Linked DNA regions of Oryzias latipes. The protein of the gene in region 1 interacts with the protein of each later gene in a pairwise test. Links are inferred from orthologs where the notes say so. Each region holds a gene or a part of one and is shown in the gene's direction. Other genes may lie near its edges.

Evidence for each region.
Region 2: the proteins of dual specificity protein kinase CLK2 (region 1) and snip1 interact in binary tests that used the Homo sapiens proteins (3 or more experiments, as listed by UniProt). The two-hybrid records come from large-scale screens. The link is inferred for Oryzias latipes from reciprocal best matches to the Homo sapiens genes CLK2 and SNIP1.
Region 3: the proteins of dual specificity protein kinase CLK2 (region 1) and ece1 interact in binary tests that used the Homo sapiens proteins (3 or more experiments, as listed by UniProt). The two-hybrid records come from large-scale screens. The link is inferred for Oryzias latipes from reciprocal best matches to the Homo sapiens genes CLK2 and ECE1.
Region 4: the proteins of dual specificity protein kinase CLK2 (region 1) and prpf38a interact in binary tests that used the Homo sapiens proteins (3 or more experiments, as listed by UniProt). The link is inferred for Oryzias latipes from reciprocal best matches to the Homo sapiens genes CLK2 and PRPF38A.
Region 5: the proteins of dual specificity protein kinase CLK2 (region 1) and srrm1 interact in binary tests that used the Homo sapiens proteins (3 or more experiments, as listed by UniProt). The two-hybrid records come from large-scale screens. The link is inferred for Oryzias latipes from reciprocal best matches to the Homo sapiens genes CLK2 and SRRM1.
Region 6: the proteins of dual specificity protein kinase CLK2 (region 1) and ythdc1 interact in binary tests that used the Homo sapiens proteins (3 or more experiments, as listed by UniProt). The two-hybrid records come from large-scale screens. The link is inferred for Oryzias latipes from reciprocal best matches to the Homo sapiens genes CLK2 and YTHDC1.

The regions. Positions count from the first base shown.
Region 1 is NC_019869.2:6,674,240-6,680,049, reverse strand, and holds the start of dual specificity protein kinase CLK2, read left to right. Parts: upstream 1-2,137; 5' UTR 2,138-2,293; intron 2,294-3,312; coding exon 3,313-3,500; intron 3,501-3,603; coding exon 3,604-3,877; intron 3,878-3,991; coding exon 3,992-4,003; intron 4,004-4,779; coding exon 4,780-4,870; intron 4,871-5,548; coding exon 5,549-5,615; intron 5,616-5,810. Other genes in the region: histone-lysine N-methyltransferase SETDB1-B, read left to right, coding at 179-369, 892-993. UniProt on the Homo sapiens protein: Dual specificity kinase acting on both serine/threonine and tyrosine-containing substrates. Phosphorylates serine- and arginine-rich (SR) proteins of the spliceosomal complex.
Region 2 is NC_019874.2:23,603,480-23,609,195, reverse strand, and holds the start of snip1 (smad nuclear-interacting protein 1), read left to right. Parts: upstream 1-2,482; 5' UTR 2,483-2,610; coding exon of another isoform or gene 2,611-2,681; 5' UTR 2,682-2,786; coding exon 2,787-2,926; intron 2,927-5,716. Other genes in the region: dnali1 (axonemal dynein light intermediate polypeptide 1), read right to left, coding at 963-1,141, 1,239-1,408, 1,960-2,072, 2,279-2,359. UniProt on the Homo sapiens protein: Required for pre-mRNA splicing as component of the spliceosome. As a component of the minor spliceosome, involved in the splicing of U12-type introns in pre-mRNAs. Down-regulates NF-kappa-B signaling by competing with RELA for CREBBP/EP300 binding.
Region 3 is NC_019863.2:31,114,617-31,119,631, reverse strand, and holds part of ece1 (endothelin-converting enzyme 1), read left to right. Parts: intron 1-645; coding exon 646-784; intron 785-3,053; coding exon 3,054-3,266; intron 3,267-3,359; coding exon 3,360-3,484; intron 3,485-3,557; coding exon 3,558-3,704; intron 3,705-5,015. UniProt on the Homo sapiens protein: Converts big endothelin-1 to endothelin-1.
Region 4 is NC_019862.2:23,722,595-23,727,132, reverse strand, and holds part of prpf38a (pre-mRNA-splicing factor 38A), read left to right. Parts: intron 1-285; coding exon 286-407; intron 408-661; coding exon 662-747; intron 748-1,848; coding exon 1,849-1,959; intron 1,960-2,049; coding exon 2,050-2,156; intron 2,157-4,538. UniProt on the Homo sapiens protein: Involved in pre-mRNA splicing as a component of the spliceosome.
Region 5 is NC_019880.2:16,873,011-16,878,750, forward strand, and holds the start of srrm1 (serine/arginine repetitive matrix protein 1), read left to right. Parts: upstream 1-1,995; 5' UTR 1,996-2,105; coding exon 2,106-2,126; intron 2,127-2,943; coding exon 2,944-3,033; intron 3,034-5,488; coding exon 5,489-5,611; intron 5,612-5,740. UniProt on the Homo sapiens protein: Part of pre- and post-splicing multiprotein mRNP complexes. As a component of the minor spliceosome, involved in the splicing of U12-type introns in pre-mRNAs. Involved in numerous pre-mRNA processing events.
Region 6 is NC_019870.2:83,166-87,365, reverse strand, and holds part of ythdc1 (YTH domain-containing protein 1), read left to right. Parts: intron 1-102; coding exon 103-165; intron 166-241; coding exon 242-336; intron 337-463; coding exon 464-572; intron 573-645; coding exon 646-763; intron 764-2,089; coding exon 2,090-2,174; intron 2,175-2,259; coding exon 2,260-2,414; exon of another isoform or gene 2,415-3,414; intron 3,415-3,791; coding exon 3,792-3,871; exon of another isoform or gene 3,872-3,908; intron 3,909-4,025; coding exon 4,026-4,062; intron 4,063-4,178; coding exon 4,179-4,200. UniProt on the Homo sapiens protein: Regulator of alternative splicing that specifically recognizes and binds N6-methyladenosine (m6A)-containing RNAs.

The DNA.
Region 1 (5,810 bases):
TAAAAATAAAATCAACACTATCTGACATGTTTGAAAAGCGGAGAGGTAAAAAAGCAGATTTGGAGCCAAGCTGAATTTAGCGATAACATGTCTCTTTTTTTTTTTTTTCCCCTGGAATTCACATCTCTGTTTCTGTTGTGATCCCAATAAAAACTTTATTATCCCATTCCTGTGACAGTGGAAGACCCGTTGGATGACATTCAGGACAAGGATCACTGGACTTTCATGAAGCAGTACTTGCAGGATTGGCCTTTCCCCCCCCAGAGCCAGTACAAGGTTGGGGAGGTCATGAAGGCAGAACATCGGGGAACCCAGCAGGACTGCAAGGTTCTGCTCATCGACAGTAGCTTGTTGAAAGTCGTTTTCCAGGTTTGCACCCCCTCATTGTTTTCCTGTTTCTCTTTCTGTATTATAGTATCTTCCGCCTTTTTTTTGCTGCTTAACTCCTTCCATTTTTCAGCTATTTTAACCATTCAACTATTAAAATGTTCGGCTCTTTCAGCTTTTTCCAGCTATGACTTTTGGTCCTTCAAATCCTTGAACTTTTCAAGATATTCCAGTATTTCCAGGATTTTTGCCTCCATTGAAATACATGGAGAATCCTTGGTGCAGAAGCTCGCTGGTTCGAGACCCGGCTCTGGCATTTTTCACAAAAATATCTTTTATGATTATTGTGCTGTTTTCACTTTATTTATGGTCAACTTTGATGATTTCCTTCTTTTTTATGAATTATTTTTCCAATTATTAGCCTTTAAATTTTATTTTCATTCAGCAATATAGCATTCAAACCTGCATTTTCTTCTGGAAATGCAGATCTTTCTAGTTTCTAGTGTTATCTTTGTGTGGTTCCTTTTTTTTGTGAGCTTTTGTGGTTTGTGTGGTCTTTCCCAGAGTGACGGGCACACAGAGTGGATCTACAGAGGCTCCTTACGGCTGGAGCACATGCTGAAACTGAGGCGCTGGATGATGTCCAAAAATAAGAAGAAAACCTGATCGTGTTTATCAACATGTGTCTGAAGTTATTTCAGAAAAGAAGTTGCAGAAGGAGGACATTAATTGTCGAGGTGCGCTGTTATCGAGGAACTTCCTTGTGAACAGTTGAATGGATTTTATTTAGTGTCTCTAAAAGTAAAATCTACATCTGAAGCATCTGTGGACATTACGCTGCTTTACTTCACTTTTTGTTCACTTTGTATTACATTAATTATGGATTCATGCTTACTTTAATGTAGTTTTTAGTCTTAATAAAATGTCTATTTTTCTGCTTGTTCTTCTTTTAGCCTGAAATGTGATTATAAGCAAAACATCTGCTGTTTATGACTGAAAAAATAAATGAAAAAAATCAAAATAAATTCAAATAATCTGCAATTATTAATCTTATTCCAATTTATTGTTATAGTTTTGAAAATGTTAATGTACTGGTTAGCCTCTCATTAGTAAACCGTCCGTTCTTGTTACAATTATTTATAAAAATCCCTTTGATTCTGGTCTGTATTTGTGTTAAAGACGCAAAAGATGGTTTTCATTATTTTTAAACATTAAAAAATGTGAAGGTCTCAAACTTTTTAAATCCATTTTTGATTTCATTCAAACTAAATGTTTTTATTTATTTAAAACCACGTTTGTTTGGAAAACAGTTTACTTACAGATAAAACAAGAGCAAATGTGGAACTTTCATTAATTAAAATGAATTATTCTTACTTTAGATCTAAATAATTGCTGTGTTTTGGATGGAAATAACGATTTTCATTACATTTTAAACCTGGAAAACATGAGGACAAATTTATTTTGGGATTTTTAAATTACGTTAAATTTACTTTTATATTGATTGTTCATTTTGGGGAAGCAACAAGGAACAGCAGCCACAAATAAATACATTTTTTAAAATGTGGCCAGATGTGAAAGTTTAAACTACCTCAAAATCAAATGTATTTATGTAATGACCAGATTTAGATAATTTGTTGCCCAATCTTTTTCTTTAAGTTTCATTCTATTGCAAACTCGCTTCCATGGAAATAAAACAATATTAATCTCGATAAGTATGATTTAATCCCAGATTAGAAAGGACTACGGTTTCCTAAAATGTCATGGAAGTATTTTGGAAAGAGGAGACGTCCTCGCGCGCGGAGGCGGGGCCAGCGGCAGCAATTTGAAGCAGAAGCTGCGCTGCCTGCCGCGGGCCTCAGGCGGACGACACCAACCGAGCACCAGGCTAGCAAGAATTTTGCCGAGAAATATTATCGCCACCACGGATTTCTTATGGGATAAACGCACAGGCCTCGCTGCTAAAACGGTAAATAGTTTCTAGCTTTCTTTCGTGTCATTTATTTCCAAGTTTGACGGCAGTTTGTACATTAGCTTGCTGTTACGGAGCTGATAAATCCAGCTAAGCTAAGATGGCGGTCTAGTTATTTACATTAGCAAGATGCTAGCATGGAGTAGCTACCAACTAAACACCGATATCTTGAATTTATATAGAACGCGTTTTTTCTGGTGTCATTTATCACCAGGTTTGGGTGCGGTGGTTATTTTTTTGTCGATCTTAACGTTTTTAAGAGTAAACAAATCAAATCATGTTTCAGACGTTACTTGGAGGACTCGGATTTTTTCCCCCGTCAATTAAACGATCTGGTTTAGCAAAGGTTCAAACAAACTTGATAGAAATGCTGTTAAATATACGGGAACTCAGAGCGTCCTGCTCTTCATTATCACTGTATTATGATTTTTAGTGTTGATAGTTTTTAAATGAACTGTCTGTTATTAACGGAGGCGGTTCTGCTGCTCGGAGTTAGTGCAGATGGTTTAGTCTGGCTCCTCTGATGTTGCAGTGTTGCTCCTGTGGGATTGTAGTTCTGGCTCCTGCAATCCCGCAGGAGCTGGGGTTGCAGTCTGGATCTTCTGGGGTTGTTGCAGTGTTGCTCCTGCAATCCCCAGGATTGGCTCCTGGGGATTTCGGTCTTGCTCCTGAAGAAATGCAGTCTGGCTCCTGCGGGGTTAGTGTCTTGCTCCTGAAGAAATGCAGTCTGGCTCCTGCTTGGATTGCAGTCTTGCTCCTGCAGGTTTGCCGTGTGGCTCCTGCGGGGTCTCGTGACACATTTTTATGTTCTCAATCAATGCAGCTATCTCTGAGGAAGCCGTCCCAACCCAGTTACACTTGGATTAAAATATATGTTTGGGATTCCTCATAAATCTGATACCAAGATTATTCATCTTTTCATATAATTCAACATGTAAAATATAAGTCTTTGTCCAGTTTTGACTGATGATGGTTTTTCTGTGGATTTATCGGTTTTCTTTCTCTCACTCCTGCAGATGCCTTACACAAGACGGTATTCGTCTTCTGACAGAGACAGTCGGACCAGCTACCCGGACCGCTACCGAGACAGAGGAAGGAGACAAAGGTACAGAAGATCACCCACCTACTCATCCAGCAGTGACCGAGAGCGTGACCGAAGAGGGCGGGGACACAGACCCAACGGAAGCTATGGAAGAACCAGGAGGTTTGTCTCCAAGAGCTGCAGTTTTTGTTGGTTTTCCTCTCCAAATTTCAAAAGAATCTCCTTTTTTGATGCAAATCTTTGTGTTTTTACTTGTCTTGTACAGTCGCAGCTATGACAATCGCTCAATGGAGCATCGACCGTACGACCGAAGATACTGTGAAGGATACCGACGACTCGATCCCAGCCGAGATCAAGACCGGGACCGGGAGCCCCACGGCACAGCTGAGAGCTTTTATCCACGAGAATTCTCCCCCAACTTGTACGACTACCGACGCGGCCGTGAGAAAGAGCGGGAAAGGTCCTACCAGAGGAAAGGCAGCAGGCGTAAGCACAAACGAAGGCGGCGTAAAACCAGGTCCTATAGCCAATCCTCCTCGGTGAGTACGACCATGTCTGAGACGGTGCTTTAGCGCTTTCTTCATCTTCTCCTCTTCAACCTTTCTTCTCTTCCTTTAGTCTATCTCTTTCTCTAACCGTTCCTTTTTTTACAGCTTGTGGAATTGGTAAGTAGTATATTTTATGATTTGATTTTGTTCTGTTTTTTTTTTATTACACTTTTGCAGAAATTGGCATTCCGTTTTCAGGGCATTTTCATTTTTTGGCAATAACATCTTAGTCATTCCTTAGACCAAATTTTGGAGGTTTCTTATTCCTAAACATCTAATCAACTTTTATTTTGTAGTGGTAGTTGATTTCTAAGATTGCATAGAAAAGTGAAAATGTTCTTTCAAAAATCATAAGTAGCCTTTAACAAATTTGCCCTTTTAGTTGTTTTTTCTCTTTATTCTGTTAATTAAACCACACCTTTAAGGTAGTTTAACTTGAGGAACTCCTAGGTAAAAAAAAATGGATGTGGTTCATTTTTGGAAGTATTTCTGCTTGAGCTGGTCTCCTTCAGTAACTTTTTTCTTCCATCGTTCTTCCAGAATGTCAGTCTGAAAAGTTTTTTTTTTTGATAAATGCCTGTTTTTATTGGTTTGAGATGATGAATGGAAATGCCAGATGCTTCTTTGTTTGTGAGCAGTCATGGTTTGGAAGGTAGAGGGGGGAGAGGAGCAGAGGACGACAAATGATGTTTTACTTTCCTTGCACTATATCGTTATCTATTTCCTTCACGTGCTGTCATGCGTGAATCGCCCCATGACCACGAAATCCACCTACTACTACTACCACCACCCTCCTCCTCCCTCCTCATCCACCTGTGCCAACACTGAAACCCCCGCGTCCCCCCCCCCGGTCGTGTTGTGACCTGCTGATGGCGGTCTGGGTGAAAAAACAGAGGAGCAACAGCCGGACGCGGGCACTGAGTGTGAGGGACGACGAGGAAGGGCACCTGATCTGTCGGAGTGGGGACGTCCTGCAAGAGAGATGTACTCACTGCCACTACTCTATCGTAACCCTTCTCCATATGAGTATTACAGCATAGAGCATTTACATGACACAAGGAGTGCCTGATGACGATGATGATGATGATGATGATGCCTTGCTAGAATGCTCTTCGCTCTTGCTGAATTAGCAGGGTGGACTGCAGAAATGTTGAACAATTTAAGATGGACTATAGCTTTATTTTCTTCTCCCACCCCCCCTACTTTAGCCGCTTAGGCTGTGGAGCATTTTTCCGTTTCACAGGTTACTCGACTTCGCTAGAGTTCACCTTGTAGTTGTGAAGCTCAGAGCTTCATCTTATCAACCCCAGCTTGTCTGTTGTTTACAGGGAATCCACACAGTTTAGCAGCTCGCATTCAACACTTACTGTCACTTTAGCAACACTTTAGCCTTTACCACATTGACATCACACTTTTAAATTCATTTAGAACATCACGACGATTCAAATTTAGTCATTTAAAGAGTGGAGTGCCTTACGGCTGCCTCCTCTGTTAATTACGGATCAGAACGTTAGACCGGGTAGGCGGCTGTCTTCAGACTGGGATGGGCGATCAGTGACATGCCTGTCTGTCTATACGTTGTCGTTTGCGGTCGTCTAACACCTTTCTTCTTCTTTTGCCCCACTTTCCCCTCCTTTCCCCTCCTCTCATGTGGTGTTGCAGATGAGATCGTCGGCACTTTGGGGGAGGGCACCTTTGGGAGGGTGATGAAATGCATCGACCATCGAAGGTGAGGGTCCGCTCAGCCTGGACCGTCTTTTCTTCTCTGTCATAAAAAAAAACTAAAAAAACATTTGCCCATGGAGGCAGTCGTGGATTTTAGAGCTATTGTTGTTACAAAATTCTGAAGTAAATCTGGTTTTCTGTTGACAAAACTACAAGACTTTAGATGAAAAGTGGAAACATTCACCAAACATTCCCCAAA
Region 2 (5,716 bases), on another chromosome or scaffold:
ATATATAACAAATTTTACTTATTTTCCTTTTGATAGTTTCCTTTCAAAATCAAATAGATCCTGTGCCAAATAAAATCCTCCTCCTGCTGCTGTAAATCTGCTTGATTTTACAATGTAAGAAAGTCATACTTGACATTTTATATCTTTTTGGATTTGGTGCCTCGTCATCCTTTTTCTCCTTTCACCCTCAAATATAAAAATGACAACATTGGCGTTCAGTAAATTCCAACAATATATTTAAACATGTAGATTCAAATTTAGGAGATTTGCCTCTGCACATCAACTTGAGAAGATGCGCTTTAAGCTTATTCTAATAATAAACAACTCTGAAAGTTGATTGTTTACCATCATGATGCTCAGTAATTTGGCATGTTAAAAATAAAAAAAAAGAAATGTCAAAACCTAATCAACTAAAACAAATGAACCAAAAATAATAACCTATTTGTTTAAATTGATGGAATATCAATTCAAATAAAGGATCCACAGTGGGGGGATAAAATAGGCGTTTGTACAGCATCTCGAGAGCCTCAGGTTCCAGGGGGGTATTCCAGAAAGCAGGTTATGCTAGCTCCCACGATAAGTTTGAGGCTAAGAAAGTTGATAACCTCAGCTTTCGGTTCCAGAAATGGAGGTATGTTTCAGGGTAGGTCAAGTTACCATGGCAACTCATGCTCTGAACATAACCTGGTCCGGAGCAGGTTTAGTTGAAGCTTAGTTTGTTTACAGAGAGGTGAAGCAGCATGGCGTGTCCATTTGAAGATGATTTAGTGGATGAAAAAGCTCAGATAATACTTTTTCCACCATGAGAGGGTGATAAGACCACATATGGATGTTGGAAAGATAAACTTTTTTACTTTGATCTAACGTAATTATTTGCTTCAGTTAAGATAAATCATTTTTTTCATAAACTTAATGGGAGTTTTTCAGGTTTTTTTTATGACTAACACGGGAAAAAAACTTACTTTTTTCTGTGTTTCTTCCTTGCCCTGCTCACCGTGCAGTGATTTCCTCATCCCAAAAGCAATGCTGCTCTCAGACAAGTTTTGGTAGGCTCTTATCATCATCTGCATCTCATTTCTGACCCGGCACAACAGCAGACCTCTCTCCGCACATTCAATGGTTACCTGTCTGATGAGTTCATCTCAAAAAGGAAATAAGATGCATAATACATTTATATTTCATAACTATCCACATTTTTACTCGGAGATGAGCTTTGTCCCGACCCTCCGCTGTCTTACCGAAACACTGGGAAAACAGAACCCAGCGGATGGGGCAGATGCCAGTTGGTTTGGCCTTTTTCTGCTTTAGCTTTATGTTCAGCTGCTCCTGCAGATGAATGACATCTTTCCTCGTGGTAATGGCTGTAGATACTTTCTGCACCCACTGTTGGTCCCCCTCTGTCCATTCTCTGTAATGGTAAGAAATCAGAATTTACTTGGAAAATCATTTGACAGTAACTTTTGGATGCTTTCGGGATCTTAGATTGTGTGTCAGCTTTTTATTTTTGAATTAAGTAAAAAGCAGACGTATGTGTGATAATGCACCTGTGGGCAATATTTGCTGTCAAGACTTGATCTTTTTAAGTTGATGAAAGTTGGACATTCACTGAGCTACAGGACCTTTCCTCTTTTCCTTGTTAGACATTAGGATTTGTTGGTGATCTTTGGATCACATAAAAACTACATTTGTTCCAACTGTAGCTGTTCCACTGTGTTGTTTAAAGTTTTTTGAGTTACATGGCATGAAAAGCATCTGTTTTACAAAAAAAAAGCCTGATTTTATTTGATTTCCCAGATTTGACTTTTGAGAAATAAAAGTTGAGGATGGTCATTGTGCTCTGGTGCATGCCACAGTCTATGTTTGTCTGCATAACTTAGGAAGAAGAATAAATAATAATGAATCTAGAATAAATAAATCTGAATCGTTGTGCTTAGGTGAGCTTTTGAGGTTTTCTTTTACCTAGGTGGTAAGATGGCATGCAAAATGTTTTCATCCAAATTCTGTGTAGGGGGAGATGGAACACCTGCTGCAAAGCTGGGAGCTGGAAGGTTGCTCAACGTTAGAGTACGTCCCTATTAACGAAAAAAAAGGGGGGAAAATTGTACATTTATTTGTATTATTATTTTTTTGTAATTTCTTTTATTATTTTTGAAGATTTTATTTGGTAGCCTTTCATTGTCCACAATAAAGAAATTATGGAAGTACAATGAGATTTCTAGCCTTAATTGATATAGTTTCTGGGCGCCAGTTAAATAGATCATTAACCATCAAGACTTACCTTTTGAGATTTTTTATCTCCTTTTGTTTTTACCAATATCGGATTATCGTATTTCAAGAGGGACTCGCCAAAAGAAGTCATCGTTTTGAGGTGAGAGAGCAAGTTACACGTTTTGTTAGAAATACCGTTTCACTGTTTGTGTTGTCATGGCGACACTTTTTCAAAATAAAATAATATTGATTTGAACAAAGTTTCATTTAAGAATACTTTTTATGTAATACGACACGTATATGTGTCATCAATGCTTCAGTCTATGACAAAAAAAACTTGAACATCACGTTTTCCCCATTTAAAACGAATTAGGCCATGGCGGAACCAACAATAGGGAGCACATGGAGCACGTCGAGGGGATTAATTTGAGTCACCGGAAACGGAAGTTTGTTTTCACAACGCCAGAAGTTTGGTAACGCATCAAAGGTTTTATTTTTTATCTTGGCTTGTCTTTGTCTAGCTACTGTGTCGTGTTTTGGTTGAATTGAGCTCAAATTTATTGGAAAAATAAACTAAAATGACTAAAGAAAAGCGAGACAGAAGAAGGGAGTCTCCAGAACGGCAGCCCGAAGTGAAGATAAAGCAGGAGAAACTGAGCCCGAGTAGCACTAGCAGGCCACACAGATCACGCAGTCCACAGGGGAGACGAGCTAGCAGGTAAATGTCTGAAGGTTTTACTACGATTCATGACGTAAAACTGTCTAAATATAAAACAATTCACAACATTATTTTTTTGTTGTACTTTCGCTGATGAAAATCTAGCTTCCGGTTTTCATTTTTGACGGTTACGGAATAAACACTTAACGTAAGGGATACCCGGTTGCTCCAAAAGAGTTTTGATCTGAGGTTTCTGTAAATCAAATAATCCTTAACACGTTTGTGTCAAAAGTAGTATAAGTATCTGACTCGTATCAAGTAAATCTTGTTTATTGTTCTAAGATATTTTATTACCGTCTTGCTGATAAATCAAGGTTAGACTAGAGACATAAAATTTGCTTTAATTTTTTTTTTTATTGAAATATACTCATTACAAAACTCTGGCAGACACAACAACACAATGATGCAAGGCACAGCTCTTCACGAAAAACAAAGATAAAAAAAAAACAAGAATGTATACATATATAAAAAAAACTATCAGCATAAATTAAAATACAAGGCAATCAACAATCTGGACCCTAGATTTGTAACCATTCTGTAGCAGATTTACAAATGTCATCAATGAAAGAATTTGAGTTGTGAATACATTTCAATGAGGATAAATACAATCTGACTTCATTTTTAAAACACAGGAAATTCGGCCGATCTTTTTTCCACTTTTGCTTATGAATATATTTTCCCAAAATCAGGAGGATGTTCACTATTTGTTGGCTCTTTTGGCAACTTACTGTTTTAAAACAAAATATGTTTTTCTGTGAATTGTATGTTGTTAATTTTTTGACTAAGCCAATTATGAAAATCTTGCCAGAATCTTTCACTGGTCTGGACATGAAAAAAACAGGTGTTGGGTTGTTTCTGGGGTTACCTGACAGAAATCACACGGATCAACCTCAAAGCCAAATCTACTTCTCAATGTCTCTGCCGATGGGTAATAATTGTTTATAATTTTGAACTGCATTTCTTTAATTTTGGGAACCACTGGCCATTTTATGAATTTCCATAGTTGAGCATCTGATGTGACAGGTGTCTCAGTTATTTTATATTTCACTTTTCTGTTAAAGTCATGGTATAATTTACCTCTAAAGGATTTGTTTAGCAATTTATTATCACGTTTTTTTTCACTAAATTTTATTTCTCCTATTACTAAATTTGGTAGTTTAATTTGAACATAGGAAGACAATATTGTATTTTTTATTAAATGTATTGAAGCAATTGGAATTGCTCAGCAGGTTTTCTGAAATTCCTCGGTTGAGCATTCAATATCATATTTACCTTTGAAGTCTCTTAACTGAAGAATTTCTCCATTTGAATCAAGAATATCACTTACAAAATGATCTTAAGATAAATATACTTTATTGATCCCAGCTTGGGAAATTGGGTTGATGCAGCGTCGGCGTTAGGCTCAAGGTACAAACATACAAACAATAGATGACAACAGAGAACCAGAACAATTTTATTTATTTTTTTATTTGAAATGGTTTATTTCAAGCAATTAAGTAGAAATAATACACAACAGCAATATAATCATCAGTTATACATTCATACAGTAACTAATCAAACTTAGGATAATTATACATATTAATAAATATTGCTTGAAAGGGAGTGGAAGGAAGCGAATTTATATAATCCCACCCCGTTATACTGTAACCATTTTATTACATGATTTATCAATATCCGGTTCCCAGTTTATATCATACAGAATTAAAAATCATAAGATATCGATAAAGCACATGACAAAGATGAATTACTTAAGTATTACGTCAAAAATAACTATTTTAGAAATCAACATGGCAAATGCAGATCAGTCATCTGAAATATATGCAGATTATGTTACTTATAAAAGCCATTCATATGAATAAAACATAATACTATATCAGTAAAGTAGACACAACACTGTTTCAGGAATTTTCATAGCAAAATTTCATCAAGTATCAAAAGTTAAAAACATGTGCAAAATTATGCTACATTAGGAAAGATTTTTGAATCAATTTATCAATTTTTGGAGAAAGTGAAATAAAATCATTAAAAGGCAATCAATTTAACAATTTTCAATAAGTCATTAATCATTTGTTTTACTTTTTTAAATATTTTTTTTGTATTTTTATTATTATTTTTTTTATAATAAAGTAATGCTGTAGGGGGAAAGTAAAAAGGGTCCATAACTGTCGATTGTCCAAGGTTGGTCTTTCTTCTTTAACTGATAACAGCCGTACTTCTGGGTTCAAAACAGAGTTTATAGTTCTCTTCGATGTTATGACTGCAGACATTAGATTCAGGTCCATATCCTTCTTCAGCTGATATCAGCGACGGTGAAAGTTGAGGTCAAGTTGTCTGCAGGTCAGAACTCTCTGCTGTTATTCAGGTGACGTCAGACATACAGAGAAAGTGGGGAATCCACGTGTCATATTTCTTGAAATTATTTGGCTCTTTGGTTTATTACTCCATGTTGTTTCAGACGACCGTGATCAAACACTTCTCAAAGTCCTTCATGGTGTTCACAACCAGAACCTTGGATCGGTCCTCTGGACCGAGCGGTTTGACGTAAATCCTGCAGCCTTTAATCAGAAAGAAACATCAGTGAAAAAGAACAGTTGTATTGTGTGACCCATCAGGAGAGAAAAACAGACAGACCTTAAATGAGTTTATCTATTGCACATGGATGACAAGTTATAGAGTCCAATGGAGTGAGGTATGAAAGATCTCCTGAAGCGGTTGGTGTGACAGCGAAGCTGCCTTGGCCTATTGGAGAAGGAGCTCCGCTGACGGTCAAGTACAGGATGGAGAGGATGC
Region 3 (5,015 bases), on another chromosome or scaffold:
GTTCTTTTACCCCTTCTGACTGGCTTTGTTTTTGCATCACACAAAGTCTGAGCGTTGGACATTCATGCAAACCAAAGTGTTTATTTCTGCTGCATAAATGTATTTAAGGATGGCAGGTTACTTCTATGTCCATTTGCGGTTAATTAAAGGTGTCACATTGAGCCAAATGAACTAATTAAAGGATTTTAAGGTGACTTTTGGAATAAGTGCTCCCAGAATTCAATTCTTCTGGCAGCTTTGACCTCTGAAACAAGAAGTTAAATCCATTTCCCGAGCAATAAGTCCTTTGAAGTTTGTTTTCTCAGAGGCTTTCTTCGTTTTTTCTCCAAAAATGACGTCTTAACCCTCATTTATTCCATTCAGTTGGATTACTGTTTGTGTTCTAAATCAAGAAGAAAAAAAAATATATATATATATCAGTCGTGAGAGGAAACGCTTGAAGAATGCTTAACCTTTTCTGCGTAAGCGGATTGGGATGCAGTTACGAGAGAACCATTGTTCTCCAAAACCTGTCGCCAAATTCAGAGGCTTTCACCGTATTTCCCTTTTAAAGACTGAAAGGATTAAATTCCTGCATTTGGAGGCTCGTGTTGATGCGTTTCTGCTTTTTAACATTTGTCCGGCGTGTCGTTTGTGTGGGAGCAGGTGAGCCTTCTGCAGGGCCGGGGGTCTCCATGCTGGCCGGACAAGTCACCGAGGGAGAGGAGGCTGCTGCTGTCAGTCTGCGTGCTGTCGGTGGTCCTCTTTGTGTCGCTCATCTGTGCGGGAGTTTTCTACAAAAACGGTGAGCTCACGGCCCCGATCTTTATCTTTGGTGCCAGAAACGTCTAAAGCCTTAAACATCCTTTTGGGTCGGGAGCTGATTGTTTTCTGCTGTTGAAAAACCGTCAGATTTACATTTCAGGATGGCTCGTTTATTGGAATTGCATTTATTTACAGTGGCATATATTTTATTTAAAAACAGTCAAACAAGATAAGAACTGTATTTTATTTTAGTTCTCCTGATAGACATTAGCAACACTCATTTGTCTCCGCAAGAACACATCTGTGTGCTTTTGATGAAAACAGATCATAAATCCATATATTAAGTGGCACCTCATCCTTAGCTTTACTCACTGGTTTGTTCTTCTTCATTTACACGTCTAAGTCCTCCACCAATTAGTATGAAAAATGAGGATTTCCTTTTTTCAATCAAACAAATGATCTTGAATTAATGGACTTTCTAAAGCACGAGTGTCAAACTCCAGGCCTCGGGGTCCAAATCCTACCCTCTTGTTGACTAAACACACCTGATCCAGGTAATCAGCAGCAGGTGGGGCTGAAGAGCCAGTAGGCTGTCGGCTGTCGAAGCCTCGAGTCCAACAGTCCTGACTACAACCAGGTGGCGTGGTAAAGTTACAAAAATCGAATAGTTTTACAAATAAATGTACGTAGATTTGAATAAAGAAATACTCAGAAATCTAGATTTTCTTCATATCTGTCCTCCATCATCAGAAAAATGCTACAAGAACATGTTAAAATCACCAAAAACACCACTTTCGTTGACCGGGATCTTTAACACTTGACTTTGTGGAGTCAGCTCCTCCTCCTCAGTCCAAAGTGTGTTTCCTTTTGCATCCGCAGCCTTCCAGGTTTCCTAAATGTCATGCTAGCGAGAACCTGGGGTTAGGGAGACGCGTGCACACAAGAAGCCTAGCTTCTGCATCAACAAAGTTCCCATGCAGGAAGGTTTGCAGGTTATTACAGCTTCGTCCTTTTACGCTGATCTCTTCAGCTTGTCCTTTCTGCTAGAAGCTAAGTTATGAGTTCAAGCAGCCTAATGTGTTTTTAGAGAAGGTTAAGAAACCTGGTCAATTTGAAAAAGCCTACAAGAACGTTAAACACAAGATTTCTGTCAGGAAAACATGTGCATCAGTCTTTAAAAGAGCGAAGCGGTTGGAGGAAAGATGCTGCAGGACAATCCTTACATAACAAGATAAATATACTTTATTAGTCCCATGACCTATTGTCTTGTGTTTTCTTGTGTTATTCTAGGAAGAAATAAAGGAAAGATTAAAAAAAATGAAGAAAACAAATTGCTATTGTAGGAATAAATAGGTCACTAAATACCTTTATTTCAACCTAAATGAGGCCAAACCAAATGAAAGTGTTTGAATATAGCCTTTGGTTTGACACAAATATAAAAAATATATAATGGCTCCTTTTTAATGTCGTTTCTGTCCAAATGTATTCATAAAATAACTTGTTTGGGGGATTAGAAAGGAGAAATATGTACCAAGACTAGATTAAATTGATTAATTACAACCTATTTTAATTATTTTTTGTTATTTTGGCAAATAAATTACTGAAAGTTTTTTCAATTTTTTACTGCTGTTTGTTCAAACAGCATTGGAACCATTTGTACTTTTTGTTTTAAAAACTCCACCTTTGACTGAACTTTAACAGAGCGACCATGAGGTTCCTCCCCGAGCGTGTTCTTTATGGGAAGCGTTCCGTGGATTTACCACCACATCCTGGCAGCTTCTCATCAGCGACCGTTTCCTCACAGAGTACCACTTCCTTCCATTCAGCATCGCATGTCACATCACACTTTGAAATAATAAAAGGAACAAGGATGAAGGTCCTCTGGGACAGGCTGTTCTCATCCTTGCTCGTGACTTTTCCTAATGTCTGTTCTGTGCCAAGCGTGGACAGACTGTTCTGTTGTGGAGATAGATCGCTGAGAACACCTCTTTACACAGTCCTGAGGAATTTGGATGGGTTCACCCAAAGTCTGAGCTCCTTTTTTGATGATTAAACAGGTGGAAGCGTCTGCTGGTGATATTTCACGTCTATCGTGGCTCTTTTGTTTTCCTTGAACCATCTATTTAGAAAGGATTTTTACAGAGGCGGCTTTTCCCTTGTGCATCCTGGCTTACATGATTCTTTCCAGATGCTCTGAAAACCCTCGTGCATATTTGAGCTTCCCATGAAATATTTTTCTGATTCTCAGCCGTGTTTTTTTTTCCAGCCTCCGGCAGAACCTTAACGTTGCTTTTCGCCCACCCCGACAGGTCACCCGGGCTCGTGCCTGACGGGACCGTGTATCACCGTGGCCGGCGCGGTCATGGGCGCCCTGGACAGATCTGTGGACCCCTGCCATGACTTCTACAACTTTGCTTGTGGGGGGTGGGTGAAGAACAACCCACTACCTGAGGGGAAATCCCGGTGGGGTCCTTTTAGCAACCTGTGGGAGCACAATATGCTTGTAATGAAGCATTTATTAGGTAAGAGGCAGGATCTGAGCCTTTGGGGTAACGTGAACATTCATCTGTGGTGTCCTCTGCTTTTTTATTGATTTGATGCTTTAATTTGGGCAGAAAACACAACGATGAAGGGTTTGAGTAAAGCTGAAGAAAAGGCTCAGCGATATTATCAGGCCTGCATGAACGAGTCCAAGATTGAGGAGTTAGGAGCCAAGCCTCTCCAGCAGCTGATCAGCCATGTATGTTTGTTGAAACGCCGTCTGTCATGTCGGCTGTGCTCTGGAGGAATCACGGTCTGCTGCTCTCCTGCAGTTAGGCGGCTGGGCTCTGAATGGACCCTGGGACAAGGACAACTTCCAGGAGGTCCTGCGAAAAGTGTCGGGCAGCCTACGCACGTCGCCTTTCTTCACGGTCTTCGTTAGCACGGACTCCAAGAACTCCAACAGCAACGTTATCCAGGTATGAAGATTCGGTTGTGGATTTGGTCGGTCAGACGTTCTTGTTTAGGTCTGAGAGGGTTCATGTTGAACCTCTTCCCACCGGTTTTCACGGGATCCTCCATGGGTTTTTTGAGGTCTGTGGTTATTGCTGGCGTCCTGCGCTCATTCTAACGGTTTGAAGAGGATTCTGTCCCACAGCCGTCCTGGACTGACGCACCAGATTGTTTTTAGCAATTCTTCTTTCTTACTTCGCCTTTTGGGTAAAAATTTAAGAATGCACCAAAGTTTGCACACCGCTAGTACCCGGTGAAAATGAATTTGTGGATAGTAAACAACACACACACCCCAAAAAACAACAAAATTGATGACATCACAGCAGGAAAAACCATCCACAAAAAAAATGAACGGGACAGAAATCTCTTATGGGGCTCAAAAAACTACTTCAAAATCCACAAATGAAACCAAAACACAGGTTTGGGGATATCCAAAGGAAATTTTAAAATTATTGTGGGATAGTCACAGAAACTACGGTCTGGCGGCCGTTATTTGCCACATTGCCAAATTTTTACATTTTCCCATAATATGAGAAAAGAAAACTTCCTTTCTTCACACTCAATGGGTCTTCACAAAGTTTCACACATATACGCCACCAGGTTAAGTCTACATCCACTAACAAGTCATAGTAGTAGGTTTAAAGGTTGTCATCTGGACTCAGTTTTTATAGTTAGAAGACGTTTCACCTCTTATCCAAAAGGCTTTGTCAATTCTAAATCAGCTGGTAAAAGAGCTGGTTTATATGCGCTCATGGGGGAGGAGTCAGACCTGAAACTGGATGGTATTGTCAACTCGAGTCCTTTGTCCTCAGCTGGGGTTGGGGAGACAGTGGCTACCCTCCCCAACCTGGTCATCTCTTTCAGCTGTTAATGACCCAGGTGAAACCGGTTCGGTTTGTTTGGGTTTCAGGACACTGCTGTAGATGGATGGAAGAATAAACCTGAGACCATCATTCTTATTGAAAGAAGGTTTATCCTTCTTGACAAAGATGGCTTCTTTCACTCCTCGCTCAAACCATCCTTTCTCTCTGGCTAAAAGAGAAACTTTTAAAACTAACTTTAAAAACTAAGTCCAGATGACAACCTTTAAACCTACTACTATGATGGAATCTACCTGGATGAATGAGAGTCTTCTTAGAGAAGAAAAAAAAATCACCTTTAGTATCGCGAATGAATTTAAACTCCACCCCGGAATTTTGTTCTATCACCTCTTAACTCCTCGTGCATCATTGGGATGCTGCATGGAAAAAACGTTGGTTCTATTAATGAAGATGGCG
Region 4 (4,538 bases), on another chromosome or scaffold:
TAAGCTTCTTAAAAGGGACAAAGACCATAAAAGATGAGCCTAGATGCAAATTAAAAAATATGGAATACAAAGAGATAAACAAAGCAAATAAACATGGAATAAAATTAACAGTAAAATACCTTGTTTCCTCTAATTCTCACTTTTAATGAAAAATTTTGTGCTGTAATGTGTCTTTTTCAAACCCCTGAAGATATGGTAACAGATGAAAATGACCAGAGACCAAAAAAATTCTTTCTAGCTTTTTTTCCGATTTTTTTCATAACCGTTTGGTGTCACGTCTGTCAGATATGTCCGTCTTCTTGGAGCCATGTACATGCGGTTGACCGGCACCGCCGTGGACTGCTACAAATACCTGGAACCGCTGTACAATGACTACAGAAAGATTAAGACCCAGAACAGAAATGGAGGTAAGACACAGAAGATTAGAATCTTTCTCATCTTTATTCATTTTTTGGCTTGCATACAGAAAAAGATCAGGTTTCCAACATGGAAGCTCCCTTGCTGCTCCTCCCACATGCTTTTGGACTCACACTGAGCTTTCATGCATCTTCCTCCTTTGAGCGGACTCTGACATGTGGATCCAGACCTGGACAAGGAGTGACACATGTAAGCCTTCATGAAGCTCTGTTAGGTTGATGGATTTTTCTGGTTTTTGATGCAGAGTTTGAGCTGATGCACGTCGACGAGTTCATAGATGAACTTCTTCACGCAGAGAGAGTGTGTGACATCATCCTTCCTCGACTTCAGGTGGGTAACTTCCCAGAAGCCCCCTTTGACTCATAATTGGTTGTACAGTAATGTACAACTATCAGTTGTAGATTTAGAATGTCATACTTGTTTTATCTTTTAAATAGTGCATTTTAAATTTGTAATCTTTAAAAGAAAAAAACTGTCAGTTATACATTTTATTGAAGCTACTGGACCAGTTTTTTTTGGGGGGGGTGTCTATATTTTCCGAAAGCTCTGTAGTCTGTCTCAAATTTATGTTTTAGTTCATGGGGAAAGCATTGGATAGAAATGAAATTAGGGCAAATAGTTTTTCTACACAGTTACCGAGAAATGTGTCTGAAAGAGGAATTTTTTTGTGTTTTTATATTTACTTTAATCGGTTTCAAATCATATTCGTAACCATTTGGATTTTGTTTTTCATTAAAAGGCTTACACCATTCAAAATCAGGTTTTTGAGCTTTTAAGTGTATTGTAATGTTTATTTCTCACTATAAACCCCAAAGCGGTGTTTTGATCCGTTTACGCATTTCTGGGTATTCCTCTAAAAATCTGCATTCTGAGCACCGGCGCCTCCTAACCCACGAAAACGAGCGGGTCCTCACATTGTGACATCATTAAGTGGAGAACAGTCGAAGGGGCAGGAAGAGTCTGCACTGCCAGCACCGCCCCCAGGCTAACACACAAACAATAAATTAAAAGATAAAATAATCAAACATTGATTAAAAATAAACATCAATGCTACTTGCACCTCACGCTTCCCAGCCTGATTTCTCTCTATTAAAATGCGAGCACTAACCTTTGAAATGTGTTTCCTTTATTATTTTGTAATAAATTATTTTGTTGTCATCATTTTTGTGGTTCATTGCAATACATCGTGTCCCCGTTTGTAATTCTTTGCGGACTTTGGACCTCGTCGTTTCTTCACCAAACAAGTGAAGACTCAATGTGTAGTAATGGCGCTTGTGTGTCATGCCGTATGTCCCGTGACGGCCAATCCAGTAACAAATAACAATGAACAAAGATGTAACAACAGTTTTGTCTTTGAGAATTTTTGAGTAAAAACAAACAAGTGACCCCTTTCCTCCATAAAGTCATCGTATCCTTTCCTGTGTGTCACAGAGGAGGCAGGTCCTGGAGGAGGCAGAGATGCTGGACCCTCGGGTCAGCGCTTTGGAGGAAGACCTGGATGAAGTGGAAAGCAGTGAGGAAGAAGATGAGGAGGACGAAAAGGTAACGGCCTTTGATGATGTGTTGATCTCTTGGTTTGGCCGAATATCATTGCAGGAGTTATAACTCCGTGTTTGCTTTCCGTGCCCACAGCCAGAGCGACTGCACTCCCCCGAACCTCACAGGCGGAGTTACCGTGACAACGACAGACCTCGCCGCTCACCGTCGCCACGTTACAGACGCAGCCGCTCACCCAGACGGTGGGTGTTGTCTCAGATCTTATGTCGTTCATGTACAGTGCTCAGCATAAATGAGGACACCCCACTACATTTGTCCGAAAACCTTCAGTGTTCTTTTGGAATTAACATTTTTCTACACAGGTGGACCATTGATTGCAAACCAGATATTTTAAGTTGCACACAAAAACGTGTGTTTTTGTTTTTTGACCTAACAAATTAGGTCACGCCCACGTTGTAAAAAGGAGTACACCCCAGTCAGAGTCTTAGGAGAAAAGCCAAACTTAAGACTACAGAATTCTAATTATCAGGCATTCAACCACAAGTGAGTCTACTGATTCATTTAAGACGTGTACAGCACAGAGGTGGCTAGAAAAGAGCATTTAACCAAAGAAAAGCCTGTCCTTTCTCAGATATTGTGACATTTCTTTTCCATGGGTAGCTATCGGAGACAGCATGAAATGGGAAGGGCTTTTTGGATCGTAATCTAAAAATTTAAGAAAGATGGAAGTGCAACCATCTTACAGAGACGTCCAGGCCGTCAACAGAAGCTAACATCTGAACAGGAGCGTCTTCTGATGAGAAAGGTTGAAGAAAATCGCCACTGTAGTTCACTGCAGTTAGCTAAAGCAGTAGAACGCCAAACTGGAGTGACCGTTTCCCGTGACACCATCCGGCGCACGCTGCAGAGGAATGGCACGCATGGTTATTGTCCACGAAAGAAGCCTTTCCCAAAGCCCGTGCACAAAAAAGCACGTCTAGAATTAGCTAAAAAAGATAAAGGCCTCAATACTCTGAAGTGATGAGACAAAGATCCCCCTTTTTGGAACTAATGGTTTTAAAACTATGGTGTTGCTGAAGTGAGAATTTCAAAGAAAAATGCATGGTGCCTACAGTGAAACATGGTGGTGGCAGTGTGCTGATGTGGGGCTGCTGGTGTCGGGGAGCTGCATTTCATTGATGGCATCATGAACTCAACAATGTACTGCTCTATACTAAAGGAGAAGATGCTGCCATCACTTTATGCACTTGGTCAAGGAGCACTTTTCCAACACAACAATGATCCAAAACACACTCCTGAAGCTACTGCTGCATTTCGGAAGAACAGGGTGAAGGTGATTGGATGGCCAACAGTGTTAGAAATAAGGGGGAAAAAATGGTTGTCCGAGGCAAGTAAACTTGGTTGTCCTCCCCAATTTTTGGTTTTCCTTCGATACCAATGAATTCAACAGCAACTAAACCTACTCAGATGTCAGTACTTACATCTTTATTTCTTCTATACATCTAATATTAACTGCCTCTTATGATGGACATTTAAAAAACTCTTTAAAATTAAAAACAAACATTTTACTAAATACTGAAGCATCTGGTTACACAAAGTATTGCCAAAAACTTGAAACCAATATCTTTATAACTAGTATCTTTACACAGATTTAAATATATTGGTTATTTTTTTCTTTGGTTTTTGATAATTGTTCCTTAAAGAATATAAAATACCAAAACTGTTGTAAAAAATTTAGAATATTATATCAATCCCATGGAAAAAGTTTTTTTTTCCAGCTCATGTCAGTCTGTTCTGTTATGAGTGAAAGTTATAGTGTTTATGAATGTGTTTTAAATCTTTTTGCGTGTTTTTGGAGACCTCTAGCGGTCGCGCCAGGTACTGTTGTTCAACACTTCTATTTGAAAAATCTTTATTGAAAAGTGCACATGTAGAAACAGAAAGGATTCGTTAGCATGATGCATGCACTTCGTTTGTCGGTGGAAAGAATTAGCTGCATACGTCTCAATTCAGAGGTTACCAAAAACTAACCCGTGAAACTTGAAAAATAGTCGAAAAATACCAAAATGTTGAATAAAAGACCAGGTTGTCACACGGACAACCATCAGGTTCATTTTGGTTGTCCTCCTTGAAATCTGGTTGTCTCGGACAACCGGTTTTGAACGCTGGTCAAGGATGTCTCCTGATCTGAACCCAAGTAAGGAATTCTGAAGAACAAGTTGAGCATCACTCTCCATCCAGCATCCAGGCTGTAAAAGAGGTTCTTCTTGAAGAATGGAAAAAGATACACGTTGAAATATGTCACCAAGTTGTTCATGAAATACCTAGAACAGTGTTTTTCAACCAGTGTGCTGCGGCACACTAGTGTGCCGTGGAAGATGGTCAAGTGTGCCGTGGGAAATTCCCCTCATTAACTGATCTAAAAACATTTCCCATCTCCAGGATTTCAGCTCTCTGTTCATCCAAACAGGCCCTGATAAAACTCTGAGGAGTTAATAATATAAAAGATCGTAAAATACTTTTTCTTTGCGTTTATTTTATTTTATTAAAGACATATTGATAAGAATGACGGTACAGTACCGCGATTCAGCTGCAGCTTCGGCTGTATTTTGGAAAAGTCCCGC
Region 5 (5,740 bases), on another chromosome or scaffold:
ATAAATATAAATATAACAAATAAAAATAGAAATAAATAAAATAGAGTTTGGAAAATATACAATATAATGTTTAAAATAATGCAGTGGACACTGACAAATAAAAAGGCTATTTATCCAAAAAAAAAGGCTTTTTTTTCTTTAAAAAGGAAAGTTTCTTTTTAATGCTTTTTCTGACCAAAAAAACAAGAAGAAACAGCAGAAAAATAATTTTAAATGCAAGTACCGTTAAAAAGTAGTGCAAAGTAGTACTCAAAATGGTTTGATGTATTTCTGCAAGATGAGTTAATCTGGAAAAACTATGTTTTTTTTTATAAAGGGAATAAAAATGACTGTACGTTGTTTTCAGTTGTGTGTTGTTTTCAGTTATGATAAATGAAATCTATCATGCCATCGGATATGAATTTGGGAAGGCATTATTTGCAGATGACGGAGCCTTGTGGAGGAGGGGACGGAATATTCGTTATGTAAAGAGAAAGGTGCAAGACGCAGTTACGGAGGTGGAAAACTGATCCTATGATTGGGGCTTCAGATTTTCAGTGGCTAAAACAAAATGCATGTTTTTTACTGGAAAACGGCAAACTGTTATAGACTTAAAACTATATGGAAAAGTATTGGAGCAAGTGCACAGCTTTAGATATGGGAGAACCGCCATTGAATCTCAGATCTAAACAACTGCTGGTCACTTACTGGGTGAATATACATTTTACAGTGCAGTAGAAGAACACATAATTAGAAGTGCTCCCTGTTGGGAGAGTTGTAGGGGGAAAACAAAAGTGTTGCTTGGAAATTATCTATATGGAGAGAGTAACAAAGATTTATGATAGGACCCAGTTAAGACGTTTTTGTACCACTCCTTTCTGGGTTTTTCCAACCGTACAAGTTGATTTTTATCTCCATATGAAGATGGATGTTAGCAAAGGGAATTGGGATGAAATCACAGCAGACAGGTTGAATACGGTTCATGCTTCACTCATTCCCAGATGGATCTGAAGATTCAGTAACAAAGAGGACAGTTTTTTCTTTCTGTATCCCAAAATTAGGAAAGTATGTCGGAATTAAGCCATCAAAGGATCTTTGCGTTTTTGCTGTTGAAATGTTGGCAATATCATTTAGTTTACGCATGTTAGAGCAGAAAAGAATTGGTGATGGTGTAATGTCTTTGAAATCTTTTTCTTCCGACAGCAGGTCAGATCTAATGTATGAGATTTGAGATTGTGTCGAGACTGGAGAAATGGAATATCGGTATCAGAATTATGTGGGTACCAGCACATGGGGGTGGAATAAAAACTGATTTTCTGGCAAAGCGGGCATTGAAACAGGGTGTGTAGATAGAATTTCCATTGGGAAGAACAGAAGTTAGGACAATTATGAGGAGGTGTGTTATGGAAGACTGGCAGAAACAATGTGAAAGATAGAGGAAAGGACGACATATATTTAATATACAACAAAAGGTAGGGAAAGGTGCATCTTAAGTCAAACACTAGAGATCAAATCATTATATCATGATTGAGGATGGGACACACTGCTTTAAATAATACATTACATTTACTGGGGAAACATCCACACTGGTCTCTGTGATTGTGGGAAAGGGGAAGAATCAGTGGAGCACATTTTGTGTTACTGAGAATTGTATGGGGAAGAAAGAAAGCACGTGGAGGATGGAGTACGGTTGCCGGAGGCAGAGCGGCTGAGTTTGAGGAGGCTTTTGGAAGGGGAGCATAATTTCAATTGAGTTGTTATTGGATTTTTTAAGAGAACTAGACTGTTGAGGACAATGTGTTTTTTTTAATAGACTAGGACCTAGTCTAGGACCAAATCTATTAAGTGGTCTATTAAGTCTATTAGTGTATTAAGTATATTAGTGTACTAAGTCTATTATACTAGTCTATTAAGTCCGACTCACACTCCAACGCAGTAGTTGGCGGTAATGAGCCTTGGCGTTGGTGCCTCCCGCCATTTGAACCACAAGAAGAAGACTGTAAATTGAGTGCAGTACCCATCTTTTCCGGACGAGGCGCTATCTTCATCCGGCTCTCCCTTCAGATTTCACCGAAGCCTTGCAAGTCTTTTTCAACCGCTCCTGAAACGATTCATTTTCCCCGATAATGGACGCGGGATTTTTCCGCGTAAGTGGAGTAAACTTATTTCTGACAGTAGCAACCGTCTTGCTGAATTGTATATTGATCTGATATGTGCCTTAAATGCTACGCATTATTATAGGCAGAGAGGGACATTCGGCTAGATTTGGCACGCTTAGTCAGGGCTTCGTCTATCAACTGGTGCGAAAATAAGCATTGGTTCTCCTTTGAGGTTTTTATTCTAAACTAAGCCGTAGAAACAATTTGCAATGACACACTACATATCGACGCCTTTTTGATCTAATAATGTAATATTATTATGTTGGTGTATTTTAAAACCTGATATTCATCTGCTGTCAAGTTATCAGGAATTAGGCCAGACACAACTAGCAAGCCACAGCTAACTTGTTGGCCTTCTCCGAAGATGGCGCCTAACCGGTGCGTCCCGAAAGAGTCACGGTTGTCATTATATGAACTTTAGCCAACAGTCATTTGGCTTCTTACTGTTTTGTTAAACACATAACGATGTAATTCCGGAATTTTTCTATACCAGAGACGGTAAATGTGTCTCTTTGGTTAGCCACGAGGACTTCAGAGGACAGTTAGCTTAGCAAAAGCTAATTTATGCGTATCAACGATATGACCCAGATTCACGAGCTCAGATTACTACCACAGCGTCGAGCCCCCCTTTTCCACTGTTGTAAACGAATAATTTTGAACGAGGCAAATTTGTGTTTATTAGCCTAAAATGTTTGTTGACTAAACGGTGCTTTAAACGTTTTCTGGACAAGATTCCTACATGCATGGTGTATCATGTATTTTACATTTTGTCTTATTAAAACCTTGCTGGTTCATTATTCCAAAGGGTACAAGTGCGGAGCAAGACAACCGTTTCAGCAACAAGCAGAAGAAACTGCTGAAGCAGCTGAAATTTGCAGAATGTCTGGACAAGAAGGTATTTTTTTGTTATATCAGAATATGATGTGTTTTGATTGTACATTACATATCTTCAAAACTTCTAGTTTTGAAAGTTTGAAAATGGAACTTTTATTTTGGTTGTACTGATAAATCTCAGCTATTCCTGCTGTCTCAACTGGTCTCAAAGGTACATGTCTGCAATAATAATAAAATATATAAAATAACATTGAAATGTTAGAATTTAAAAAGGTTTTTAACTTGGTTAGGTTTTTAATTATTACAAACTTGTTTACTGTTTTAATAAAGTGTCCATGTCACAATAGATGGCCTTCTTGGTTCCACTTGTGATAACTCAGTTGGCTTAGTTTAGCCAATAAGAACCAACTATTGCAAACTTTGACACACCCATGATGAACAGAGTAGTTAACGTTAACTGCTGGTTCACTGGCTGCATGGGAACATTAAAATGTAAAAACAGCCTGCCTGGAGAAAAGTCATGTCTTGACTGGGAGGACATAGTTGGGGAGGGAAATGTTTGGAGCTTGCTCCACCTCTTTTTACTATGATCATGTAATAGCCTGTAAAATGGGCATTAAAGACCCACTCCAAGGAAAATTGTTTTTTAACACGTTCCTGTGGCATTTTTATCATGTTGGAGGACCCATAGAAAGAAAATTCATCTTCAAATGGCATTTCTGGTTCATCGGTTGTGCCGATGGTGTCTCTCCATGGAGATGTCACCATCGTGATGCCACGCCCCCGCCACGCTGCGAGTCGACACCATAAGCCGCGGTTACATGTGCAAAATATCTTGATCGGATCAATGGTCGGATTAGAATTCAACCGTGTACGTGGGCCCAGAAAAACATTTCTGATTACAACAAACGTTCACATGGTCACACTTTCATTTGGAATAAATCCTTCGCACATGCGCAGTAGTGTTTGAAATACCGGAAGAGGAAATGAGTTCCGCTGAGAGGCTACATACATAGATATCCGGCAGCTCGGTAATATACGAGATATCCTCCAAACGTGCTTTTATTAATGTTAGGGTTATTATGAAGCGCCTGTTTGCTCATCATTTTAATTTAAATCTGTGTGGTCAGTGCTTTTTTCTGTTGAAGAACGAAGCTGGAAAAAGCCAGGACTAAGAGAGGCTAACACGCGCTAACAACATTAGCCTTGTTTGATGAACATAAAATCCATGCGGGAAACGCTGCAATCTGCATCTTGGCTGCACGTAAATATGTGGGCATAACATCAGCCTTTACTTTGTCGGGACACGACTGGAAACCCAAATCCACGTGATTGTTTGAACGGTTTCTAAGGACTGAGCGACATTTCTGCTTTGAAAAGCTCACACACCGCCCCAAAGCCGCTATGTGAGCTGATGGTCCGAGCTCTGGACCGGACACACACTTTAGACCCGGTTCTCCTGATTCCGGTAGCTTGTTCACCTAGAACTGTGGGACAGATCGCAGTCCGAAGTCTCCCACACATAGCGCACACGTAACAAAGCATCCTCCCATCAAACACAAAGTCCGTCTCCTCAGAGACACGGTCGCTCGGTCCACTTGACTAATCAAGTGCAGGAGCGGACTACTTATTTTCTATTTTGTTTGTTAAAGTCACTTCCCTCAGTTTATACTGGATCATCGCGGATGAGTCATTAGTTGGGAAATAAAATAAATGAAGTAATAAAGTGAAATAATGAATAATAACTATATAATAATGAAAAATTAAAAATCCCCCGGCGATATCATCGTCCATCCCGATGGTTTACTGCAAACATCGTCAACGACCAATTTAAGGGACATCGATCAACCCTAATCAGGAGCAGAATAAAAGAATGCTGTTTGGAAAAGCTTGTAGGTGTGACAGAAGATCCAATGGCAGGATACAAGTTCTCTGCTGCGCTCCATTCTGATGTGTCCATTTGTGGACAACTAGAATCGTGTACGTCTCTTGTCTTCGTCGTCTGAGCTGGCATCTGGCTCAAAACTGTACGACTGGATAGCTCCAATATTGCTCGGCATTTTGGTTGCACAACTAATGTTAGGTTGGGGTTGTGAGGGGCTGTAAGCTCGCAGCAAAGCACGCAGATGGATGACGGGAAGATGTGAGGGTTACTCAGCACCAACAGTCCCGTCCACAACATGGAAGCACATTTCAATGAACTAATACTATGAATTATGTACTAGAAAACAATAAGACTATTATTTATTATTATTAATGCATTAATTCTGGCTATAAACAACACAATCATAATGAAAAGACCACTGGAAACATGTTTACATAAGATAAAAAGATGATCAAAGTAGGACTTTAAATTCTATTCTAAGTCTTAAAATCAATGTGTAGAAATATGGGTCCAAAAATAATGAGTATATATACATGTTTCAAGTTTAAATGTTTATGTTGTTCTTTCTTTAACATGGACTGTTTTGTCTTTAGTCACTGGTTTACTTGACGATTTGTTTGGTTTCCCTCAGGTGGACATGACCAAAGTGAACCTAGAAGTCATCAAACCTTGGATTACTCAGCGTGTGACAGAGATTCTGGGATTTGAAGACGATGTGGTCATTGAGTTCATTTTCAACCAACTCGAGGAGAAGGTAATGTTTGAAATTGTCTCTCCTTTGTTTTGGTTTGTTACAGCTTTGATTATTTTTAGGGCAATTTGTAGCCAGTAAGAAGGGATGCAAGCAAGTAAATCATCCTAATAATACTCCTGAAAGTAAATG
Region 6 (4,200 bases), on another chromosome or scaffold:
CTGAACTCTTTGCACACTGACACACTTGTTCTTCACGCATGTCAAGGAGCACGCGTGAACATGTCACCATAACAGGCTCTTTTTGTTCTTTTATTTTGACAGGTTCCGATAAGAAGCAGGAGAAGCTGTCGTCGTCTGTGCGAGCCGTTCGTAAAGGCGTGGAAAGTAAGAACCCCTCCAAACAGGACGGGAAGCGCGTCCAAAGCCGGACCCTCACGTCCAGCTGCTCTCTGCGTTTCAGATCCCACCAGCAAGCTGCGCTACATCCTGCGTGACGCTCGCTTTTTCCTCATCAAGAGCAATAACCACGAGAACGTGTCCCTGGCTAAAGCCAAAGTGAGTCTGTCTTTCTCATGTTCTGTTGGGATGCCATCTCTGCCTCGGTGTCCGTCTTCTGTTTGCTAGCTTTCAGAGGTGTTGGGTTTCTTGTTAGCGTGCTGATCTTTGTGTCTGTCATGTGCAGGGAGTCTGGTCCACGTTACCGGTCAACGAGAAGAAGCTGAACGCGGCGTTTCGCTCGGCGCGGAGCGTCATCCTCATCTTCTCTGTGAGGGAAAGCGGAAAATTTCAAGGTGAAGCCAGAAAAGCTGATGACTGCCGTCCTCGTCTGCCTGCCGTCTCGTTTATCGTTGCTGTTCTCTCCAGGTTTTGCTCGGCTGGCCTCAGAGTCTCAACATGGCGGCTCTCCCATCCATTGGGTGCTTCCTGCCGGCATTAATGCTAAGATGCTGGGAGGAGTCTTTAAAATCGACTGGCTCTGCAGGTAAACGTTCCTCGGTTCTCAGTCTGCTGGCTTGAAAGTTTCAGAGGTTCCACCACAGTCGTCTATCCCATCTTAAAAGTGATAATGCACGCTTAAAAAGTAGTTCCGGTCACATATCTTAAATGTCCTGTATCGCTGCGCTGGCTTCTTTAAAACAAACTTAATCTTCATCATGGAATGATCAGTGTGCTGGCTCAGCTGTTACCATGACAACGGCCTGCACTACACACCAAATAGTTAACTTTTTGTAAAAAAAAACAGAAAATGGATTGAATACTTCTTTCAGGATGCCTTCATTGTCAGTGCAGTGGAGAAAAGGGTAAAGAGGACACTGACGAACCCAAATGTCTTTACAGCCCCCTGATGCTGTTAAAGGTCAGGAATCCAGCTGTGGCGCCACCTGTTGGCCAACTTCTGTGACGCTTGTTGAGCTCTCCATCTGCTTAGTGGGGACCGTGGTTTTAAATCAGGTGTTGTTTGGTTGACCAAACTTTAGTGCCTCATCCTCCTAGCTTGCATGTGTAAATGGTGATTAGGACCAGACAGGCAGCTGTGCTGGTCTATGCTGGGACAGCAGCACCGTGATCCGACCGTGTGGAGCGGCCCTGGAGGTGGGACAGTGATGGATAGAGCTTGTGAGGGGTCAGCTGGAATCAGTGGGTGGTGGGGCATTCCTGAAGGGGGCAGCCAGACAGCATGTGGGGTGTTGGTGGAACCCTGGTGACTGGGAGAGCAGTTTTAAGTGGGCTTGGTCAGAATCAGGGACGTGCATGGTGCCAGCATGGACTTCTGCTTGAGAAGGATGGCGAGGGCTAAGCTAACATTAGCATTTGGTGGCAGTTATGATCACTCTGGACAGTTCGCGTGGTGTAGATCCGGTTGTATTTAACAGTAGGACTCTAGGTGAGCAGTGCTTTGGTTGTTTGATCAGTTGTACGGGTACACAGCTGTTCTGGAGGTAGTGACCTCCTGAAATAGCCAGTTCCAGAACATTCTCAGTAGATGGGGCTTGTAGAAGCCCGGTCCAACGCCGCCAAGGCGTCTGCCTGTGGCAGAACCTGCCCACGGCTGTGGTGAGAACGGTTGTGCTCATGGTTTATCCTCTGTCTGAGACCAATGTTCACTGGCTCAAGGTGGTTGTAGACCAGATAGTTGGACGACACCTGAAAAATACGCGCAACCCCAGAATCCTCATGGTTCTGGCAGTCTTCCCGTTAGAGCACAGAGTACATTGAATTGTGATACTCCAACTTGCGGTTCTGGTGGCGGTTACCCACTGTGGGAACTGGCTGAGACCACTGCTGAACTTGCTTCTGTCGCCCACAGGAGGGAGCTGCCCTTCATCAAGACGGCCCACCTCTCCAACCCATGGAACGAGCACAAGCCGATCAAAATTGGACGAGATGGACAGGTCTGCCCACCGTGGCGTCCCGCTTCAGGAGGTTGTGCTTCTGCAGCTTTTTCATTCGGACTCATCCTACTTCGACTTTTTTTAGGAGATCCAGCCGGACGTCGGCGCTCAACTCTGTGGACTGTTTCCATTGGACGAGAGTGTGGATGTTCATCAGGTGTCTCGCCGCATTCGGCACAAACGCAGGACACCGACGGAGCCGCGGCCCCGAGGCCGACCGCCACTGAGAGAACCGGGAAGGTTAGCCAATCATCAAGCTCCTCCCCCGCATCCTGTACTGCTGCAACCACGGTGCCACCCGCTGCCGGACCATGGATACAACGGCGACCTTTACCTGGCGGCGCTCAGGTGGTGGTTGGTCGCTGCGCCCCTCTGCGTCTGGTTGGAGGCTGACGGTCAGGCAGGAAGTAACGTTAACGTCTGATGCAGGTTTATTTGTGGTGTTTGCCGTAGCAGCAACCCGTCTGGTTGAGTTCTGATCAGTTCTGAGGGGAAGTCTTCCGCTGGCGTAAACGTCCTGTCAAGCTCTCTGTCTTTGCAGGAGTTTGGTGCTTTGGAGTTAAAAACCATTCAGCTTTAGTGGGACTGGCTCGGCTTTTCAAAATAAGAGCACCACTGGCCGGACTGATGGTGAGGGGAGGACGTGCAAGGTAGAGCTAAAGCAAAACGAGAGTAAGGGACTGGATTCCGTGTGAGAAGGGGGAACAGGTAAGGGGGGCAGGGGGTGGGGCCTGAGGACTGTTGGGGCCAGGGTACCCACCTCTTGAGGTAAATAAAGGACAAATGAATAAAAAAAAGAACTTCTTGGACTAATGGTGTTCCCCCCCCCCCCCCGCCCTACATCAAGAGGACACTGTTGCCCCCCACCCCCCATGCTTCCTCGCACCCCTACCCACCCCCCTGGCACACGCAGAGAATGAGGACTCCGAGCCAGGTTGTTAAGGACGGACTGTTTTGTGGGCGGGGTCTCTGGCCCTGAATGGGAGGGTGGGTGGAGCTAACGAGAAGGAAGGCGTGGAAAGGAATGGACAGTTTTTTTGTCTTGGACTGCTAGTCTGAGAAGGGAGGGAGGGGCTGATGGGAGTGGGAATTTATGTTGCTTGACAGAACTTCATCATCATCATCATCATCTCCTCACCCTTTCAAAATAAGAGGGGTTAAAAAGCACTTAAGTGGACTGATGAGGAGAAAAACTGTTTGTGTAAAAAGTGTTGCCCCTCCTTCATAGACGACAGAAGCGGTATGTTGTTCCTTCACAGACGTGTGTTTGCATTAGTGTGTGTGTGTGTGTGTGTGTGTGCGTGCGTGCGTGCGTGCTGCAACCTCTGGATGGCCACACTCTGTCAGACGAAGCAGGATCAGTGTCACTGGGGTTCTTCAGGTCCTGGTTTCCAGGTCTGTGTGATTTGTTGCCGTGGTAACAAACACTGTGAGACCTCAGGCTCATTTAGGCCCTGAACCAGAACCGTGCTGGTCCACCACGGAGGTCACCGGTCTGATCTGCTCATGCTGCTTCGTCCTTCAGAAGGTTTTGTCTCGTGCATACGAACACGTGTCTGTGAGTGCACGTGTGAGCGCGCACGAGCAAGTGTCTTACCTGTGGACTTATTCACGTAGGCGTCGGCTGGAAGAGTACGACATCCACAGCAGGAAGCGACCGCGAGCCGACGGCCTACCGGACTTTGTACAACGAGCAGGTTGTTCACCTGGAGGTTTTGATTATTTTACACACCTGAGTGACTTTCACTGTGCTGTGGCTCACATCCACGTGCACGCTCACATACACACTCACAGTGGAATGGTCCGTATGGACGTTTGAAACTGTATCTCTTAACTATCATTGATTCTCAGGATTCCTCCAGGACCCACGGAACCAGCCGGTGGACAGGTGAGGCACACCACGTCACCTGAAAGTGGGCGGGGCAGAGCAGAAACAAAAAGGGGGGCAGAAATCAAAGGCTTTTATTGTGAAATGGCTCATAAAGGTTGTTGTTAACTCTGCAGGAGGTTCTCGGGCGTCAGGAGG